3 linked regions of the Oryctolagus cuniculus genome follow. The protein of the gene in region 2 interacts with the protein of the main gene of each other region in a biochemical or structural test. Links are inferred from orthologs where the notes say so. Each region holds a gene or a part of one and is shown on either strand. Other genes may lie near its edges.

Evidence for each region.
Region 1: the proteins of rab proteins geranylgeranyltransferase component A 2 (region 2) and RAB5A form a complex in vitro, tested with the Homo sapiens proteins (2 studies listed by BioGRID). The link is inferred for Oryctolagus cuniculus from reciprocal best matches to the Homo sapiens genes CHML and RAB5A.
Region 3: the proteins of rab proteins geranylgeranyltransferase component A 2 (region 2) and RAB1A form a complex in vitro, tested with the Homo sapiens proteins (2 studies listed by BioGRID). The link is inferred for Oryctolagus cuniculus from reciprocal best matches to the Homo sapiens genes CHML and RAB1A.

Annotation. Positions count from the first base shown.
Region 1 is NC_091435.1:155,565,377-155,572,773, reverse strand, and holds the start of RAB5A (ras-related protein Rab-5A), read right to left. Parts: upstream 4,807-7,397; 5' UTR 4,792-4,806; intron 4,745-4,791; exon of another isoform or gene 4,610-4,744; 5' UTR 4,298-4,609; intron 341-4,297; 5' UTR 251-340; coding exon 88-250; intron 1-87. UniProt on the Homo sapiens protein: The small GTPases Rab are key regulators of intracellular membrane trafficking, from the formation of transport vesicles to their fusion with membranes.
Region 2 is NC_091444.1:55,939,905-55,947,175, forward strand, and holds the start of rab proteins geranylgeranyltransferase component A 2, read left to right. Parts: upstream 1-3,485; coding exon 3,486-5,450; 3' UTR 5,451-7,271. UniProt on the Homo sapiens protein: Substrate-binding subunit (component A) of the Rab geranylgeranyltransferase (GGTase) complex. Binds unprenylated Rab proteins and presents the substrate peptide to the catalytic component B.
Region 3 is NC_091433.1:137,615,651-137,622,994, reverse strand, and holds the start of RAB1A (ras-related protein Rab-1A), read right to left. Parts: upstream 4,219-7,344; 5' UTR 3,793-4,218; coding exon 3,770-3,792; intron 2,080-3,769; exon of another isoform or gene 1,956-2,079; intron 1-1,955. UniProt on the Homo sapiens protein: The small GTPases Rab are key regulators of intracellular membrane trafficking, from the formation of transport vesicles to their fusion with membranes.

The sequences.
Region 1 (7,397 bases), on a different chromosome or scaffold from region 2:
GTATTCACAGACACCCAACTGGAACACCAAAATATTTGTGTCAATGTATGATTCAAACAAATGAAGCAGGAATAAAGAAAGTCTCACCCCCAATGGTACTCTCTTGAAATTCATGAAATTGGCCTTTCACAAAACGAAGCACTAGGCTTGATTTGCCAACAGCAGACTCTCCCAGAAGTACTAGTTTGAACTGGCATATTTTATTTCCAGTATTTGGCCCGTTGGGTCTTGTTGCTCCTCGATTAGCCATGTCCAAATTTAAAAGAAGTCCCTAATTTCAGACTCTTAAATTAACTTCCAGGATGCAAGGTGCCAATTTTTTTTCTGGAGATAAAGAAACCTGTAAAGAAACAAATACGCAGTAATTAATATACAAATCAGTAAGCCAAAGTAAATCTAATAACGACTATTAATGCCATTCACTGGTTCACACCCTCAAATGCTGGCTATTAATAGTCAGGGCTAAACCAGGCCAAAATGGAAAGCCTGGAACTTCATCCGGGTCTCTCACATGGGTGGCATGAACCCAAGTACTTATGCATCACTTGCTGTCTCCCGTGGTGTGCATTTTCATGAAGCTAGATCAGCAACAGACCAGAGACTCAGTCCTTCTGATATGAGATGGTAGCGTCCCAAGAGGTATCTTAACCAATGGGCTACAATATTCACCTCTCACTATCTTTTTTAAAAGTAACAATTTAAAGTTGTAATGTGAGCCTAAAATCAGTCTGTAATCTTCAGGTTTTTTTTTTTTTTTAAACTAACCTTTATCACAGCCTCAACTTTGTGCCAGGTAGTGTTTTAGTACTTCAGCACAGCCACTCTACAACCTTTTAGTTAGTTACTATTACAATCTTTATAAAGGAGGAAACAGAGGCATAGAGAAGTAACATGATTGAGGTCACATACTTACTGTGACAGATTTGAGACACAGATGAGTCTCAAAGCAAGGCAACCTGAGAGGTGATTCTAGAATTCAGGATTAAATACTTGGGTTAAAATTGTTTTTTTTGGGGGGGGGCTGGTGCTGTGACATAGCAAGTGAAACTGCTGCCTGTAGTGACAGCATCCCATATGGGTACCGGTTTGAGTCCCAGCCTGCTCCATTTCTGATCCAGCTCTTTGTTCTGGCTTGGGAAAGCAGTGGAAGATGGCCCAAGTCCTTTGGCCCCTGCACTTCCGTAGCAGACCCGGAAGAAGCTTCTGACTCCTGGCTCCGGATTGGTGCAGCTCTGGCCATTGCCACTAATTGGGGAGCGAACCAGTGGATGGAAGACCTCTCTCTCTCTCTCTCTGCCTCTCCTTCTCTCTATATAACTCTTTCAAATAAATAAATAAATCTTAAAAAAAAATTGTGGGAAATTAATAAACAGAAAGCTCTTAGATTCCCACAATTTATAGTTATTTGAAAATCTGTTATTGCATGCTTTTCATTCATGGTAATTTTAGGGCAAACATTTTAAGGAGCCCAGTGCTGTATGTGCAGAGGCTGAAAGATGTAAAACTATCCTCACATACCATTCACAGAAATGCTAATGGCTATTCTCTAATGTGGTGCAACTATTAGTGACTTATTTACTAATACTACCTTTTTTTTGTAGTTTTTGGAATTACAATATATGCCATTATTTTCTATTAAACAACACATTTGGAGAAAACTAGCCTGAAGGCAAATTCTTTTCTTACCAGTATCTAAAAGTGCTCATTTTTTTTCTTTCTTTTTTTAAGATTTATTTGAAAGGCTCAGTTAGAGAGAGGGAGAGACAGAGACAGGTCTTCCATCTGCTGGTTCACTCCCCCAAATGGCCACAACTGAAGCCAGGAGCCAGAAAAGCTTCTTCCAGGTCTCCCACGTGGGTACAGGGGCCCAAGCACTTGAGCCATCCTCCCAGCTTTCCCAGCAGGGAGCTGGATGGGAAGTGCAGCAACCAGGAATTGAACAGGCACCCATATGGGATGCTGGCACTGAAGGTGGCAGCTTACCTGCTACATCACAACCACAACCAAGGCTCCCAAATGTGCTAATTTTCAATTTCAAAGGAATTAGCAAATATTTGAAGAGCACTTTTCAACCTATTCACATCTTTAATAAAAATATGATTATATGCTTACTAATATACTAAATATGATTTCCTCTCTAAAAATGTAGCTATACTTCACTGAGTTACCTCATATAAGAAATTCGCCTTCCCTATAAAATTTTAGTTTTTATGAGACATATTATTGACAATTCACTAATATATTGATATCTTAATTCTAGACAATTAAGTTCACTTCTTGGCTTTATCTAAAACTCCAGCTTTGAAGCGTCTTTAACAGTACATGCTGATATATTTACAGATGAAATGATGTTTAAGCTGCTTCCAAACATAAGGTACAGGGGCTGGCACTGTGACATAGAGGATAAAGCTGCCGCCTGCAGTGCTGGCATCTCATACAGGTGCTGGTTCGAGTCCAGGCTGCTCCACTTCTGATTCTGCTCTCTGCTATGAACTGGGAAACCAGCAGAAGATGGCCCAAGTCCTTGGGCCCCTGAACCCTCATGGGAGACCAGGAAGAAGCTCCCGGCTCCTGGCTTTGAGTCAGCGCAGCTTAGGCTGTTGCAGCCATCTGGGGAGTGGACGAGCGGATGGAAGACCTCTCTCGATCTCTCCTCTCCTCTCTCTGTGTAACTCTTTCAAATAAATAAATCTTAAAAACAAACGAACACACACCATAAGGTACAAATAAAACTACTTCCCCATACTGTCCCAAACACAGTAAACTTGGGAGTTTAATCCTGGTAGTACCAATTTCTGTCTGGGCCAATTTTTTAATTTTCAAACTACATAATTTGCATAGTTGCCAGTTAATCACGTGATACAATATATATAATCTCTAATACAGTACCTATCATACAGCAGGGTTTGAATGGACAACTAAAGTGGCCCTTTGGTTACATGTCAAACACCAATAGAATGTCGTATAGGCAGAAAACGCACCAATTCGCTTTCAGGAATAAACATAGTTGAAACACTTCCCAACAGCCTCTTATCTACAAAACTGCTGATCATTTATCAAGGATACCATGTTCTGAATTTCTACAGTACTTCTGAAAATTTAGGGAAAACACCAGACACCCATAAAAAAGTCAAGCAAAATTGTGATTTACGTTTGCCTTCTAAGTTTTGAAGCCACTGAATCCTTATGCTACAAGGATCTCTAACAGGAAATAAATCAAAAACAGCGTAATATTAACAAGGTAAAAACTGCGTGCATTTACTCGTATTCACACTTACTGAGAATTCTCCCAGTTTTGCCAAACAAGGACTTTGCATTGTATGCATTTTTAAACTTGGAAATAACTAGTGTTCTGTAGTGCTCTTTTGCTCTTTTTAGGTCCTCTTTGATCAAAAAATCACTGGGTACTCATTCTGTGCCTGGCATGGTTACCAAGTACTTTGCTTACAACAACCCTAAGTGTTCAAACTATCTGCATTCGACAGTGAAAAGAACAAAGTTTCTGAGGAGTCCAGAATATTCCCGGAGTAGTGTAACAGTTTGATTCCACTTAAGCCAGGCCAAAAAAAATCAAATACGTAAACTAGGATGCTAGGAGCTTAAAAAGTCTGAAAGTCTCGAGGGGCTGACCAGTTCCCAGGGAAGACAGCATCAGGGCAGGTCTCCTGGTTTACCCACCAAGGGAGCTGTACGGCGGCCCAGTTACCTTTAATTTCCTTAAAGCTGCGGCTCGCCACCTGCCAGTCTCCAGAGCGGTTGTCTGGCTGAGCCTCCCAGCCCTTCCATTACCCATCTTTCGAAGGTAGGCGGAGCTCCCCAGATCCACACCTGCCCTAGGCCCCGGTCCCTGCTTGCAACACCTGAGCAGCTGAGAGCCGACTCCGGATCGCCCGAACAAACAGTACCCGCCAGGGCTCTGGGCCGTCCCGCCACCCTCCTCCCTTAAACCTGCACGGCTCTCCCTGGGACCCCCGGGCTGTCTGGAGAGGCCGGGCGGAACCACGGCCTCCGGTACTCTTTCCGCGGCGCCATCTTGAGAAGGGAAGAGGGTGACACCCGTCGGCTCCCTCACCCAGTCCCCAAATCGCGGTCTCCACCAGAACCCCTGGCGGCATGAGTCACCAGGGCTGGCAGGCCGACAGGCCCGGGTGCGGTAGCTCTGTGGTCCCGGAGACGGGCGCAAGTCGGGGAGGACGTGCTGGGGGCCCCGCCGCCCGCACAGCCGCGGGCAGGATGGAGACCGCGGCTCAGCCCAGCTCCAGACCCGCTCTGCACAGGGGAAGGCTGGTCTGGTTACCTGCGGCTGCGGCACGCGGGGCCGCGGCACCGCAGCTTGCTGGCGGCAGGGAGCAAGCGTGGCCCGAAGGACGGCAGCGAAGCGGAGGCTGTGGCGGCGACGGCGGCGTCTCCTCGCGTCGCTCGCCTCACACCGGACCGTGCGGGGCTGGAGCCGTGGTGCCGCCCCTGCCGGGCTCCGTCTCCGCCTCTCCGCGCTCCGCCTTTCTCTTTCCTTTCTCCTCCTCCGCCGCCGGCGCTCAAGTTCCGACGAATTCTTCCTCCTCCTCCTCCTCCCTCCTCCGCCTCCTCCCCTCAGGCCGGCCGCCGGCTCCTTCAAGAACCAAAACACAAACACTCAAGTCCCAACGCGGGAGCCACTTCCGCAGCCGGGCGCCGGCCCCGCCGCCACGTCGCTGCGCGCAGCGAGAGACGCCGCTTCGTCACTTCCGGTCGGCGCCAGTCCGTCCCGCCCCATCCGCTTCCCCGCCCCTCTCGAGGCGCACCCAGCCCTACCGGGGAGGGGGCGGGGCGCGGCGGGCTGTCACGTGGCTCTGCGCTGGGGCGGGTTTTACTGCCTTGTTGTGTCTGCGCCACGCCGGTTGCGCGCGACCGCGCCCTCGCAGCTCTTTTGTCAGCAGGGCGGAGGCCTCTGGGCTCCTGTGACTGGGGCTGGGTGGGGTATCCCGTGCTGCCCTGCTTTGGGGGAAGACCTAAGGCGCTTGAGTTTGTTGCGCCCAGCCCTTTGTTGTAAGTGTGAGCTCACAGTCCCCTCCATCCCGCCCCGCACCACCCCAATCCTGGTGACTTGGCCTAAGGGGTTTTTTTGAGGGAGGTTGTAACAGGAGACACGCCTACTGTGTCCCTGAGGCCAGGTGTGTCTGTAAAGGAAGGTAAGTCGTTTGTACCGCCGGCAGGAAGCTAGGACCCTCTGCATCCTAAAGCCGTCTTTAGTGGCAAAGCATTAAAACAGTTGGCACGTAAGAAGCGCTTACCTGTTTTTGGTAGGGTACATGTTAAGCAAACCTGTTGTTCAGATTTCCCTTTGGGAGTTACAGTACTAAACGTTTTACAGTAGGTACAAGTCTTTGTGAAACCAGCTTGTGAATCGTCGTGTGGGCACATTAACACTAACTTCCCAAACTGGTCCTCACCTCTGTGAACCTGGCTAGCACGTGGCCAGGCAGCTAAGAATCTTCAGGCATGGCTTTGGGATTAATGAATGAGGCGTGCCTGCTTTACAGGTAACGCGCTCGAAGCACAGAGATTGTGTAACTTGTACAAGACTGGGAATTCTTTTTAAAGATGTATTTATTCAAAAGGCAGAGTAACAATATTTCTTCCATCCACTGACTCACTTCCCAAATGGCTGCAATGGCAGGGCCTGGCCTATGCTGCCAAGAGGCTTCAGCTCCTTCCTGGTCTCGCAAGAGAGTATCAGGGGCTAAGTACTTGGGCCATCATCCCCTGCATTAGTAAATAAGGATTGGAAGCAGAGCAGCCTGGGTTCAGACTAGCTGTTCAAAAGGAGACTCAGCATTGCAAGTGGCAGCTTAACCTGCTGCCTGTGCCTTGACCCTCTGTGCTGCGTACAATACAATGCTGGCCCCAGAATGTCAGTTCTTATACAAAGTTCCGGTGAAAGACCACAACCTGAGCTGGTTGTTGCCCTCTGCAGCAGATCCTCTTAAGCATGCTTTGGTAAAATCCCAGATCATAGTTAGTTTCTGGAAAGCGTCTAAAACCAACCCCTCTCCCCTTGATCGTTGCTTTTTCCCCAGAATAAGGGATGCTTTGCAGTTTATAATTTACAACTTACAGTCCTGCTGTGAAGGCATGAATATTGTCTTTGGAGTGTACCTGGGCTAAGGTATCCTGTGAGTGCTCGGTCAACATTGTGCAATGAAGATGATTTGAACCCTTGACTAACTAGCTCGTCTTTCAGCACCTCCCCAGTTACTAGAAGAGCATAATATGGCATCTGTGAATGGTATCTGTGGCACTGCATCCTGAAAGGCCTGTTCTGATGTTGCATAAGTCATGGTCATAGCTCTAGGACGATCCCAGAAAGAATCAGGAAATAGGATATGTCATGTTAGTCTTGTCATGTCAATAGCATGTCCCAAGCCAAACCTATTCCACTGCAAGCCTGTTTGCATTGTTTATTCAGTGCCATTAAGAACCTCTGTCACCCAGACTTGGAACTACAGAATCATTTTCAGCTCTTCTTTTCTTCCCCATAAAGCACTGGCCATTCTGTTTCTAAAAATCCTCAAATCCCCAAATTTGAGAACTAATTCAAATGCCTGGACCATAGAAGCATTCTTGTTAAAAAAATTTTTTATTTATTTATTTGAAAGTCAGAGTTACACAGAAGAGAGGCAGAGAAAGAGAGAGAGAGTCTTCCATCCGGTGGTTCACTCCCCAACTGGCAGCAACAGCGGGAACTGTGCTGATCAGGAGCCAGGAGCTTCCTCTGGGTCTCCCAGGTGGGTTCAGGGGCCAAAGGTCCTGGGCCATTGTCTACTGCCTTCTTGGGCCATAGCAGAGAGCTGGATCTGAAGAGGAGCAGCTGGGACTAGAACCAGCGCCCATATGGGATGCCGGCGCTTCAGGCCAAGGCATTAACCCACTGAGCCACAGCGCCGCCCCGAAGCATTCTTAGAAGCAGAGTGAATGCATATTCCTTCCTTTTCAATCTACTCTTTACAGTTAGTCACTCAGCTAGTCAAAAATATTTGGTGGTTTTTCATTATTTGCTAAATTGAGTCTAAACTTCGATGCTAGTTCCAACCCATGTTTCTTTCATTCTGTTTCCATTGTCTTGTTCTCCCCAAACTCTTGCTTTATCCTCTGTCTCTCTGCTCTGTATATATTGCCTGCATGTTCCCAACTTGGCAAGTTGGATCATTTTATTCTCTCTTCCTTGAATGACATTACTGATCTCTCTTCTGGTGTCACCTCTACCAAGATGCCAGCTCCTCTGGACAGTCTTTGAGGATATTTCTGCTGGACTTGATCTTTTTTTCTCTAGTTTCACAGTCCTTTGCTTTACTCTATACTGGTGTTGCTAAAACTGCTTTATTTTATATACAGAATGCCTGGATTTTCCTCAGCCTTTC
Region 2 (7,271 bases):
GTGTGAATGGTTTGCTTTTGGCTTATTAGCAGTTGCAAACCTTTGAATGCTTCCTAGGGAGTGAGGTTTTCATTCAGAATGCAAATGGACATGTGCCCTCTGAGTTGCCCTGAACTGCTTGTTCCTCCTTATGGGACACAAAACTAAGGTGAGATTACAAATGAATGGCCCAAAGAATCCCAGCTCCGGGGCACACAGACTTCGCTGTGCAGCCAAGAGATTTCATTGCAGTAGAACTTGATTGTTCATTGAAGATTTCTTTTTACAATTTATTCATTTACGGAAGATTTGCGTGTCTCTCAGACTTGGCGTTTGAAGGAGGACCAGCCCCGCAGAACACTGAAGATGTGATTTTGTAAGCTTGGGAAAGAAATTATTTTTGTGGTGTGCTCCAGGTGTTTCATTTGTACAAAGATTTGAAAGAATATTTCTCAGTTATTAGTATTTCGGATTTTGATCGTGAAATCCATTGGTAATTTATGACTTTTGTCTTGGCAGGTTTTGGAGCACAAAGTCTTGGTAGCATTATCAAAAATAGTTTCTTACTCATTGGCCTCCTAGCCTGTGAGACTCAAATATTCATAATGATTTAATTTTGCTTTTTGAAGGAAATCTCAGATACTATCTATGATTACATTTCTTCCAGTATTTTCTTTTCCGCTCCAATGAGCATGAATCTGAGTATTTCATTTGTACAAAGATTTGAAACATGGGGAGACAGCTCTCACTGTATGTAGGCAGTAATGTAGATGGCTGTGTGATTATATTTTTTATTTTCATTAAAAAATACCAGGCAACTTTTTAGGCAGGGCCAAGCTTTAAGGAACATGTTTTAAGTCTGTGTCTAAAGTATGGGGGATGCTCCTTTTGGAGGATAACAGTTGTTTTTTTCATAGACATGAAAGTTCTTGTTTTGTGAAGCACCTTTTCTGTGGTGGGAAATTGTATATCTGTGCCCAGGAGTTTGAAAACAAGACTGTATTGAGTTTTCAATAAGCATTGCCACCCACCCTCTTCATCCCTTTCCTCTGCAGATCTCACCCTCCTGTCTCTTCTCCCTTGCCATCCTTGCTGGGGCCCTATCCCAATCAGAAATGATTTTCTAAGACTGCTAGAAGCTAGCACATGGAATTTCACCTAAAGGCTGCTCTGTTTCTTGGGGACATTTAGCTAGTGCTTTCACTTTGTCCTCTGTTTTTAAATTAGAGGTTAAAAATCCTGGCTAAGAGGATCAGAGTCTTATTTAAGACAGGTCAGTAATGAGGTTTTTGTGGAGCTCAACATGTTCTTAGCAAAGATAAAAAATTTCTTTGCCTGGAGTAAATTCCAAGGATTGTGCTTCTAGGTTAGGGTTAAGGATGAAGAAACGAAAGGTGCTTCACTTCCCCAGTTATCTCTGAGCAAGAACCAACCAAGCAAGCAACTAGTTGTGGAGTACTGCAGGTGTGGCAGAAATAAAAGAAATGCTGCAGAGGCTTTTGGAGAGGCTGCCCTCTTTAATGGGAAGATCATTGACTTCGTGACATAAGAATGAGTTAATCTCTACAGCGTTGGTTTTCTCTGTTATGGGGTACTTGAGCTCCCTGTTCTTTAAGGCCATCCACTTCCTTTGTATTTTGATAAGACTTTTGATATCTGTAGGCTAGAAAGTACCTAATGTTAGTGGTTGTGACCTGTATTTTCCCTGCTTTATCCCACCCTCAGCTCTGTGTTTTCTAAGCCAAGAAGATGGTCACACTTCTTCAGGTAACATCATAGATTCTATCTCCATCTTCACACCCTGCTGAGGAAGGCCGAAGAAGTAATTCAGACACACTAACGTATTTACATGAGCAGACCAGGCAACTGGCTTATTTTGTGCTCAGATCGTGGCTTCTCAGGGAACGCTGAAAATTATCTTTTAGTCAGAGGTCCTCACTAGACAGGACTATGAGGATTATCGTTTTCATTTAAACTGACCAGTGAGGTTAGTGACCTAGTCAACTTAATGTAAGTTCCCATTGAATGACTTATTTTATCAGTATTCAGAGTAATTAGTCATCTTAGCATCAGCAAGATGCAGCTTATATTGATCTAGATTTCAGTAGATTTGGTAACAGCAAAAATCAGAGGTCAGAGAACCCTCACTAATACTCTGCATTGATGAACGATAGAAAGGTTAGCAATGTGGTGTGTGTAGTGCTTTATGTTAAAGACTTCCAGGTGGGTATGCCCTTCAGTTTCTTCATTATTCTCCCTCTGGCTACACCCTGGAATCACATACACCTTTTTTTCTGCATGTGGCATTTAGCCAACATTATGCCTTTGTTCACTACCCTTTGAATAGTAAGTATAGCAAACAACATGGGTCATCTTGGCAGGAGATACTCAAGACCTTTTTGTTGGGTTACAGAGATTTAGGGATTGTGGAGGCAGTCTGGCAAAATGCAAAACACTACCCTGTTCAAATGTTAGAAGTCTTACTTATGTTAAGATGCTTGATATACTAAGCCAGTAACCAATTTTCCTTTATACTTTACACTTACAAAACACACATATGCATATGGAGATTCACATTTTTTAGATATTTTCCCCATCAGTATGCCTTTTCTTGTACACACCTGAATGTTTTCAAATGCTAGTCTTTTAACTGAATCAATAATCCTTTTTGTAATAATCTGACTTGTTAACTGCTACCATGAGATCCTAAGGGTAGTGGGGTATGGAAAGGTCTTCTATTTGGCTGTTCTGGAATCATTCACAAACTATCCTGGTCATAGAAATATTCCTAATCATGATGTTGTGCATAGTATATTGTCTGTTCCCATAAATACAGAGGAGGCACACATTTCTTTTAGTCTGAACTTACAGCTGTATATAGTTTTATTCAAATATTTTCTAAAAGCTGTGAAATTGTATTATGTTAATTATTCTTTATTGTGAAACATTATGACCATTCTTTATATTATATTGCCTGATTTGGGGGGGTTATATCTCCATTATTCATTTTCAAGGGACTAAAAAAAATGAGAAAGAATTTAATGACTTGCTTTAGTAGAAGTTTATATCCAAATAAGAAGTCAGGCTCCAATGGCTTGTAATTGCTGTTGCATGAAATTACTTTTATATTGTTTTCAATTGTATTCTTTTTTTTTCTTGAATTTTCTTCTTTCAGAGAAGAGTTCCAGTCACAAATGCATATGTGATGCATTTTGACATTTACTGCTAAGGTGAAATGCAGAAATGAAAACTACACATCCGTTTTAGTATTCTCAGATGTGAATAAATGTACTTTATCATGTTTTTATGCTGCTGACTTATAAAAAAATACTTTAAAAGGGTAACCGTTAAACAGCTAGGACCTGCAGCTTCAGTGCTTCTGAGATAAGCTGGAACATCACAAGCAGAGATTTTATTTCAGCACGATCACATCTCAGCTGAGCCCTCAGCCTATATTCATATGCATTTCCTCCATCAGCAGTTGTCAGCAGACGTTTCCTCCTAGGATGGCGCACAGTCTCCCCACAGAGTTTGATGTGGTTGTAATAGGGACAGGTTTGCCAGAGTCTATCCTTGCAGCTGCATGTGCAAGAAGTGGTCAGAGGGTTCTGCATCTTGATTCAAGAAGTTATTATGGAGGAAACTGGGCTAGTTTCAGCTTTTCTGGATTACTATCCTGGCTGAATGAGTATCAACAAAACAGTGACATTGGGGAAGAAAGTATTGCTACATGGCAAGACTCAATCCATGAAACAGAAGAAGCCATCCCTCTTTGCAAGAAGGATAAAAGCATCCAACATACAGAAGTTTTTTGTTACGCCAGTCAAGATATGGAGGACAGTGTTGAAGACATTGGTGCTGTGCCAAAAAATCCTTCCTCAGCGGCATCTAGTACCCTCACAGAACCTCTGAATTCTGCAGCCTTCCCCAAAGAAAGGCACTCATCAGACTTTGCTCACTATGAAATGTCTGCAAAACACACTCAAAAAAATGAAACAGAGATTTCACTTGAAGTAACTGATATAGAAGAATCACTGGAGAAAGAAAAGTATTGTGGAGACAAAACTTCTGCACACACTGTTTCAGATGGAGATGAAGATGAAAACAACCCTAAAGAAGACAATACTGACCAACAAAAGAGAAATAGGACTACTTATTCTCAAATAATTAAAGAAGAGAGGAGATTTAATATTGATTTGGTGTCAAAGCTGCTATATTCTCAAGGATCCTTAATTGATCTTTTAATCAAATCCAATGTTAGTCGTTATGCTGAATTTAAAAATGTCACCAGGATTCTTGCATATCGGGAAGGGAAGGTGGAACAGGTTCCTTGTTCTAGAGCAGATGTCTTTAATAGCAAAGAACTCACCATGGTTGAAAAGAGGATGTTAATGAAATTTCTTACCTTCTGTCTAGACTATGAGCAGCATCCTGATGAATACCAAGATTTCAAACAATGTTCATTTTCAGAGTACTTGAAAGCTAAAAAACTAACCCCCAACCTCCAACATTTTGTGCTACATTCAATTGCAATGACATCAGAAACCTCATGTACTACATTAGATGGTCTTAAAGCAACAAAAATTTTTCTTCAGTGTCTTGGACGGTTCGGCAACACTCCCTTTTTATTTCCTGTGTATGGTCAAGGTGAAATCCCCCAGTGTTTCTGCAGAATGTGTGCAGTTTTTGGTGGAATCTACTGTCTTCGTCATAAAGTACAGTGTCTTGTAGTTGACAAAGAATCTGGAAGATGTAAAGCCATTATAGATCACTTTGGTCAAAGAATAAATGCTAAGTATTTTATCATGGAGGATAGTTACCTTTCTGAGGAAACATGCTCAAATGTGCAGTATAAGCAAATCTCAAGGGCAGTGCTCATCACAGATCAGTCTCTACTAAAGACAAATTCAGATCAGCAGATTTCCATTTTGATAGTGCCTCCAGTGGAAGCACAGACTTGTTCTGTCCGGGTCACAGAATTATGTTCTTCAACTATGACATGCATGAAAGACACATATCTGGTACATCTAACGTGTCCATCTTCAAAAACGGCACGAGAAGACCTAGAACCAGTGACGCAGAAATTATTCACTCCTTATGCTGAAACAGAAATGCAAAAGGAAGGGCCTACAAAACCAAGACTCTTGTGGGCTCTTTATTTTAACATGAGAGATTCCTCAGTAGTCAGCAGAGGCTCCTATGATGGCTTACCTTCCAATGTTTATGTCTGCTCTGGGCCTGACTGTGGCCTGGGAAATGAGCATGCAGTCAAGCAAGCCGAAACACTTTTTCAGGAGATCTTTCCAGGTGAAGAATTCTGCCCTCCACCTCCAAATCCAGAAGACATTATCTATGATGGTGATGACAGGCTACTGGAGGCTTCTGGAACCAGTGATACAACAATGGCCAAACAAGAATCCTCTGAGGACAGCAAAAACTTAGAAAGTCCAGAGAAGCAGCTTCAAAATTAGAAGAAAAAAAAAGTGGAAATCCTCTTCCTCTTCATCCTGGCATCAGAATACTCTCATTTAAAGGCCATGTTTCCATATGAATAATTGGAAGTGGTTATATGGTGAATGCTCTGCAGATTTTGTCTTTGACTCTGCTTAGGGTATTCAGCCTTAGGTGTTTTTTATTAACCTGTCACTAATTGACTTGTCAGTTGTTGGAGTCTTTGTTTCAGAATCTGCTCTGTGATCAGAATCTTAAAGCAGGGATACCTTTGTTTTAATATTGTATGTATTGAGTTCCATGTTAGCAACTCAAAGATTATATTGTGTATACTATTGATCTTCAGACTGTCATTTTCTACAGGACAATAAATAGGACCTTAGGAATATTTTAGTTACTTTGGCAGCTGTTATGTTGCTATCACATCTGTTTGAACAGTGAAATACACAAATAGTAAATTATGTGGGTCTTTGTATATAATATAAAAACTCAGAGTTCATAGTAGGAATATCACTATAAGTGCCAATATGATAAAAGACATTTGTTTATATTTGTTAAAGGATTAGCTGTGCGTGATTCTTTATTCTTTGTGAAGAATTTTACATTTTGCCATTTTTTGCACCTACTTGATCCTTATAACTGATGGGGCAGTGAAGCCATCCAGCATTGCTTTCTACTTTGTGAAAATAATCTGAGTTCACTTAACTGAAGAGCTCAGAAAATTCCTGCAGAGTCCTGCTCTAGCACGTGAAAGAAAAGGACTTCCAACAAATAACTCAGGCCCAAAGGAAAAATAAATCACCTCAGGAAAAGATGGTTAGGAATGGCTGTTTGAAATTCCTGAAAAGGAAGTCCTATGGAGAAACAGGATGAGTCACTTTAAAATTTGAGATTACAGCCAGTTTTAAAAACCCTCTGTAAGTAGTTTACCTGCAGTTTTCTCAGGGTGTAACCTATTCCTTGTTGGTTCTACCACCTTAATTAGCAGCATTGACTGCAATTAATAGGAATAAGTCAGAGGAGGATTTACTGTGCTGTTTGCTTATATCCCACCCCACAAATAGGTGAACAGTCTTCATAATCACGTCTGCCTCTTGGCTGTGTTCTGGAGAACAAAAACTCTTCGCAGAACCACTAGAAGGCACAAAACTGGCTATACTCCACTGGAGCTATCAGGAGAGGTTCCTCATTTAGTCTCATGTCTGTTCTTCAGGCAGAGAATGGTGGTCCTATAGGAAGCAAGCCCTTTCTCGAACAGAGCATTCACTGTGTGCCAGGCATTTAATATCGTGCTTTCTCACTACAGCTTCTCAATAACAGTGTGAAGCAGATATTAAGCCATACACTTTAAAAAAGAGATGATGGAAACAATTATTTATAATTTTCTCAGTGCACTGTGTACAAGAGCCATCACTGGAGCCCAACAGGATTACAAAGTCCTTTTTTCTGTTGTTCATGATTACAATAGTATACATACTGTATTAGAAGGAAAAGGTGCCCATGAAAACCGGAATCTAATATTGCTGGGGGGAAAAGTGGACAGATGCCAGTCTTGCAGTTGACTATTGAATAAGAGAAATATGAAGATTAAGATTAATTATAAGTAAATATATGTTAAAGCTACGAATCTAATAAAGCAGAATTTGGCTAAGTTTTAACAGAATAATGCTCTTCAGTAACATGTCTGTTGGTCTGAAGATTGTTATATAAAACAACTATTAATTGGCCAAAATATACTCTGAATAGTCTTTTGTTGCTCTTCTAATATGAGGGAAATAAGACAGACTTAAATACTGGACAGCTTATTGTTAAGTAGAAAAGTCATTGATTGGTATCAATAC
Region 3 (7,344 bases), on a different chromosome or scaffold from region 2:
AGTGGCCTTACCCACTATGCCACAGCACCAGTCCCCTGGTTCACTCCTAAGCTGGCAGCAACAGCTAAGGTTGGGCCAGGCCAAAGCTAGGAGCCAGGAGCTTCTTCCAAGTCTTCTACATGGGTGGCAGGGGCCCAAGGACTTGGGCCATCTTCCGCTGCTTTCCCAGGCACACTAGCAGAGAACTGGATAGGAAATGGAACAGCAGGGACTTGAACCAGCGCCTGCATGGGATGCCATGGTGGCAGCCAGTGGCTTTACCCACTGCACCACAATGCCAGACACCAAACACTTAAGTTTTTAAAAAAGGATTTACATGAAACAGAGCACTGGTCAATTTAAAAAGTCAAACCATGCCAAAAAAGAAAGAAGTTTTTAGACTGAAAAAAATTTGAAATCCTAGAATCATATTTTTAAAAGGGGGAGGAGGTGTGTGCTAAAAACAACTTAATTATTTTAAGTGTTTCGCATTACAGGACTACAGCTGATCCAAATAGACTGCTGTATTTCTTCTTCTTGGTTTACTGGCATACTCAAGATAAATACACACGCATTGTTCTTAAAACATTACTTAAAGATGAGAGAGCCAAAATTATTTTTTTAACACTAAAAAAAAGCACTAGAAGCCAAGGGATTATGAAAAATGCTTCTGGTATGAGAATAATGTTAAGCATTTCTTAACCAGCATGCTGAAATAAGCACTGCCTGCTTCACCACATCACTAAAAAAAAAAAAAAAAAAAAAAAAAACTTCAGATTTCCATAAAAAACAAAGTTCTACTTTTTCCATACTTCAGACTGCACTTCCAATTGCTTGCTTTCGTTTGTAGTTGATAGGAAAATCATCCAAACTTTCTACCTTAATGTTAACCGTGGGTAGGTCATTTCTCCCAAACTGGCTTGATAAAGGAAAGCAGTCAAAAGGATGGCTTAAAATTCAACTACTGATGTATTTTTCCCCCTCACCCCTAAAATAAAAACTTAAATATTGTAAAGAACATTCAGAAATATAGCTACCAACAGGTAATCTTATGTCAGCCAATAAACATCTTCCAAATTCAGCAACATCCTACAGCAGATTTTTAGGTTTTTAAAAGGAACAAGATAAATTAGACAACAATCCATAGCAAGCTAAGAAATATCTGGGAGGATACATTAACTAATGAACCATTCTGTAATCCTGGAATAAGGGAAGACATTCATCCATTAAAAGTGTTAATTAAGAGAAAGCATAAGATTTTAAAGTTTAGAACAAGGTGTTAAAGAAAATGTATTCAATAATAAGGAATGCTTTCTTTTTTTGTTTTCCAATTACTCTTACAATGTTAAACTTCGTTAAAGACAAAAAGAGATCAATGAAGTCAGATTGGTAAAAAAAAAATCTGATTATTGGTTGCCCCCGATCTTCCCTAAAATAGCCATCTTTTACTATCACCCTAAGATATTTTCATTAACACTTTTGCAAAGGTTTTCCCAAACTACTGGACTATTTTAATAGACAGTCCAGAATGCAAATACAGTAGGCTAGATATTGGCAAACAAGATGCCAGAAAAAAATATAAAAAGATTTTCTAAGTTTGACTCTGTTGAGATCATTAATCTAAAGTTCTTAAAAGAAAGGATGATCTGGCACTACACTTACTTAAATTCTATAGTCCTTGCCATTTATTGGCCATCCTTCCTTTTTGCCCCTGGAAAAATCCTCCTCGATCCTTTCTGCTCTTCCAAATCTCACTGCTAATAACATCCTTACAGGTTTCTTTTCCAGAGTCTTCCAAAACCCAATGGGCAAGCCAAAGTCACTACATTCCTCTGAAATCCTGTTGCTCCAATCTATACTGCATATTTGGAACTTGCTATATCTACTGACATTTGATATGCATAAAATCTACATTCTAAAAAAAAAAATCTACATTCTATATTCCATTTATAAGTTCCTTGGGGAACTTATAAAACCATAGCACTGTTAAACCCTAGCACTATCAGAATGCCTTACAGGAAAATGATTTCTACCTCCAAAAGAATGTTCTTACCATTTTCCAAATTCGTCTGGAAGTATCTGAATCTCACCACTACATTGGTAAGGATGACTCCTATTTATCCTATTTTACAAAAGGAGAAACAAATTCTGAAGCTGAGTAATTTCTCAAAATCTCATTCAACTAATTAATTTTCAAGGTCTATTTATAGTACTAAACATATGTAGCAAATATAGGAACCTCCCTGAACAGCAGAGGTTTAAAAAATCTCCATATAGTGGCAAATCCAAAAATTCATGTTCTTTACTGCTTCCAGGATAAACACTAATTAGGAACCTTACATCAACTCGGGCTAACCACGTAACACCAACTTTGTCCTCGGAGCCCTTGATAAAGAAAAAATTGCCAACATAGCAAATTTTTCAAGTAAGAAATTCTAGTAAAATCGTATAGCTACTGTTTAGTACGAAAAGATATTTCAGCATCAAACCACAATATTACAAAATTTGAAGTCAGAATGCGTTTTGCAACAGTCATGTGACACACACATGACAGTCAGCTAAACTGAAGAGTTGACTTTTCAGGGGGATATGTCTACCAGTAACTGACCAAAGCAAAAAATAAAAAAACTTTTGGGACAAATACTAATTTTTGCTTTTAGAAATCCTCCTGAAAAGGTTTCCGGCGCTGAAGAATACCAATTAAATTATCAACTTTTCATTAATTTACATATATGTAAACTGTAGGAAGTGTTTTTTCTTAAGGGCCATAAAGAACTCAACTAAACTCTTCCCCAAGGCAAGTGAACACTAGTTCCCAGGAAAAGTGCCAGGTGTGTCACATCTGTTGTGGTGACCTCTTGAGTAAGCAAGGAAAAGAAATGCATTAACTTTTCATGACACGTCATGGAAGCTCATTCCCTATCTACAAGCATTCAAGTAGGTAATCCAAAACCTACACGATCTACCATAGGTCCCACTCGTTTCTCTTTCAACTTGACAGTAGTCCTTGTCCAATTCGGTAGTACCCTTGGTTTTAGTTCTGTTTTTTTTTTTTCTCCCTCCCTTGACCTATAGAAGACAAAATGACTTAGGTGTCCTCTAACAACAAATTCTCCCAAATGTCCAGGGCTTTGGGAGGGCGATGGACCAGGCAAGTTCTTAAAGAACTCCTCCAGGAGATAACTCCAAACGAGAACTAAGCATTTTAAATCGCTGCTCACCATCTCTCCGCTCCTTGCCCTCAATCCCACGCAGTCCCGAGAAGCATCCATATTACCTGCAACCTGGCGGGGAGGGTGGCACGACAGGGAACCAGCAAGCTCAGGCTTTACAAGTAAAGCTGGTTTCCAACCCGGCGATCCTGACAGCTCCGCAGAGCGCGGGCGCGGGGTCTGACAGTGCCCTCTGGGGGAGCTCTCCCACCCTTCTCCTCCCCTTAAAAACAAATGCCCCTTCCAAAGTTACTGCCCCCGGAGGAAGCTGACCCTTCAGGCCGCTCCGCCACCGGACTGCCCAACGCCCCAAGGCCCTCCGCAGCGGCCCGGCACTCAGGCCCTGAGGCGGACCCGGCCGAGGCCCGGGCCGCTCACCTCTCCGGCCGACCCCTCCCCCCGGCCGCCCCTCCGCCGTCAGACAATGGGGCCCGACTCCCGGCCTCAAGCCTCTAAGGCCCCGTCACCCTTGCCTCCCTCGGGCCAATGCCCGCGCCCCTGCCCCAGCCCTCCTCGCCCCGCTTAAGCTTCCCAAGCTGGCCCACCGACCCAGCCGACCGGTGTTCTCCTGCACTCACTATTCGGGATTCATGCTGGACATGTCACTGCAGCTGCCGCCGCCGCCACCGCCGCCCTTGCTGCCGCAGCCGCCGCCCTGACTCTCCGCGCCACGGGTAATCGAAGGAAAGGAATGAGATGGGCTGTTCCGGGAGAGCAAACGTCTTCCCCCGCTCCGTCCCCTTAGAACACAATCAGCAGCCGCCGCCACTCAGCTATCGCTTCCACCCAAAATGGCCGCCGGCGAACCAGGAAATAGGGAAGCCTCGGACCAAGGGGTCTTTACACGGCCCGGAGGGCGGCCTCGGCGCGTGGCATGCCGGGAAGGAGAGTCGCGAGCGCAGCTACACGCGCAGAAGACCGACGGTGCGGCAAGGCGGCCGGGACTCCGCTTCCCGCCAAGCCCCGCGACTCTGGTGCATGCGTACTTGTGCGGTTGTCGCCCGCTCCATTCCCCACTCCCTCACCCCCCACCCTCCGCCCCTCCCTGCTCCCCTCCCCGTTGACTCGCTGGCTAGGACTTCGCTCGGACTCCCCCTAGCGGATTGGCTAAGGCCGAGAGGCCCCGGTGATGTCACCAGTGAGACGTGGCAGCCGGGCGAGTCAGCGCCCCACGGGGGAGGGGGTGGGAAGAGGCAGAGGGCGGTACCGGCCGGGGCGGAGGATGGGGGTCACGGTGGGACCGCGGGGCGGGAGGGGTCTGGCCTGGTGGGACGGCCCGAGCGTGGGGGAAGGGGCGCGCGCCTGGCGGCCCCTGAGCCCCGCGCGGTTCTCGCAGGCCCGACGGGCTTGAGGCCTGCCCTTCGCCGCTGGTCCGAGGACGTAGGCTCAGAGGGCGGCGGGAAAGTCGGGGGCCTCTGCCGAGGACTTCCGGCGCCCTGGACTGCGCGCAGCCCTCTTCACTCACCCGACCCCACCCGGGTTCGGTCACTACCGTTTTCTTTTTGATTTTTACAGTCCTGGCCCAGCCCCACTCTTGTCATGTCACCTCAGCCTGGACATTTCAGTTGCCTGCAAGTGGACTATGCCCCAGCCCATTCGCACACAGCGCTTCCACCGTGACCCCACAACCTTCAAGGGCTCCACAGCCAGGGGTGGGACACAGCCCAGGCATGGCCTAAGAGTTGAGTCTACCTGCTCTCGGCCCAGCCTTCAGGCTGAATTGTTCTGCCTCTTTAAAAGTTGCCACTTAATTCTGAGCAAGATTGGAAAGTAATAAGCGATAAAAACGTACAATTCATCACTATATAGTGCCCACAGACTCCAGGAGTAATACTAACACATAAAAAAAAAAAAAAAAAACAACCTTATGGGCTTACCAGCTCTCTTTAATCAGCTCAGGAATTTAAATCTCCACTAAACTTTAACACATTATCTTGCTTGGGTTATTTAATTACAAAGGGCATAGTATAACACATTGTCCAAAGTTTATCTTCCAACTGGTTCTAAGAACCAAGAAAATTATCTCCTGAGACTTTAAGTGATTGCAAAATCACTTAAAACTCCTATGGCACCAAAATATGGGAAGAAAGTAATTCTTCACTTCTACCCATGTACCAACTACACTCCTAACCCCCAAATCCCACCATGCACCTTAGTTGATAGCCTCATCAAACAGTCAGCTAGAGTTCCTGTATATGATGTTGATTTCTGAATTGAACATGGTCACCACTCCAGGAAAAGGACCCTGAATGGATTAAAGAATGTTTCTTACCCTGGACTCTAAAATCCTAGACCCTTCCTGCTTACTGTGATTTCACTGAGTAAAAACACAAATGTGCACAAGCACTCATACTGAGCTAAAAATTCAACCTTTCATCTATTCCAGAGATACACTATTTCCCCACTTTCTGTAACTATTTCCTAATCCAACAAAGAATTACCTCCTAAGTTTTAACCCAAGTGAGAGGATACTATGTGAATTAAATTAAAAAATGTAAAGCATGTGGTACAATGACTTTGGAGTACCTGGTAAACGTTAATAACTTTCTGGAACAGGCATTTGGTACAATGTTTGAGTTGCACATGTCTCACATTGAAGTACCTGGTACAAGTCCCAGCTCCGCTTCCCATTCCAGCTGCCTGCAATATCATGCTTTGAAAAAATTTTACAGTGCCAGCACTGTGGCGCAGTGGGTTAAAGCCCCAACCTACAGCGCCAGCGTCCCATATGGGCGCTGGTTGAGTCTGGCTGCTCCTCTTCCGATCCAGCTCTCTGCTATGGCCTGGGAAAGCAGTAGAAGGTGGCCCACATCCTTGGGCCCCTGCACCCATGTGGGAGACCTTGAGGAAGCTCCTGGCTCCTGGCCAGGATCAGCTCAGCTCTGGACGTTGTGGTCATTTAGGGAGTGAACCAGCAGAATGGAAGATCTCTCTCTCTCTCTCTCTCTCTCTCTCTCTCTGGCTCTGGCTCTGGCTCTACCTTTCTCTGTAACTCTGTCTTTCAAAGAAATAAAAAATAATTCTTTTAAAAAAAATTTTACTGGCCTTCGCTGTGGCATAGCTGGTAAACACCGCCTGTGGTGCTGACATCCCATATGGATGCTGGTTTGAGACCCAGCTGCCTCACTTCCAATCCAGCTCTCTGCTGTGGCCTGAGAAAGCAGTAGAAGATGGCCCAAGTCCTTGGGCCCCTGCACCCATGTGGGAGACCCAGAGAAGGCTCCTGGCTTCTGGTTTTGGATTGGGGCAGCTCTGGCCATTGCAGCCAACTGGAGATTGAACCATTGGATGGGAGACCTCTCTCTCTCTCTCTGTGCCTCTCCTTCTCTCTCTGTGTAACTCTGCCTTTCAAATAAATGGATAAATCTTTTTTAAAAATTTACTGACTCAAATTTTAATATACTTCATATTTAGGCATATAGGAGCCTGTACTTTTTTTTTTTTTGACAGGCAGAGTGGATAGTGAGTGAGAGAGACAGAGAGAAAGGTCTTCCTTTGCCGTTGGTTCACCCTCCAATGGCCGCCACGGTGGTGCGCTGTGGCTGGCGCACCGCGCTGATCTGAAGGCAGGAGCCAGGTGCTTCTTCCTGGTCTCCCATGGGGTGCAAGGCCCAAGCACTTGGGCCATCCTCCACTGCCTTCCTGGGCCACAGCAGAGAGTTGGCCTGGAAGAGGGGCAACCAGGAAAGAATCCAGCACCCTGACCGGGACTAGAACCTGGTGTGCCGGCGCCGCTAGGTGGAGGATTAGCCGCGGCGCCGGCCTAAATAATCTTTTTAAAAAATACTCAGAACCATATATCCAAAAGGGTAAATTTATGTATATGAATTATACTTCAACTATAAACCTGACATTTTTTATTTTTAAAGATTTTTATGTATTTATTTGAGAGGTAGAGTTACAGTGAAACGACAGAGAGAAAGGTCTTCCTTCCGTTGGTTCACTCCCCAAATGGCCACAACAGCCAGAACTACGCCAATCCAAAGGCAGGAGCCAGGTGCTTCTTCCTGGTCTCCCATGCAGGTGCAGGTACCAAGCACTTGGGCCATCTTCTACTGCTTTCCCAGGCCACAGCAGAGAGCTGGATTGGAAGAGGAGCAGCTGGGACTAGAACCAGCGTGCATATGGGATGCTGGCGCTGCAGGTGGAGGAT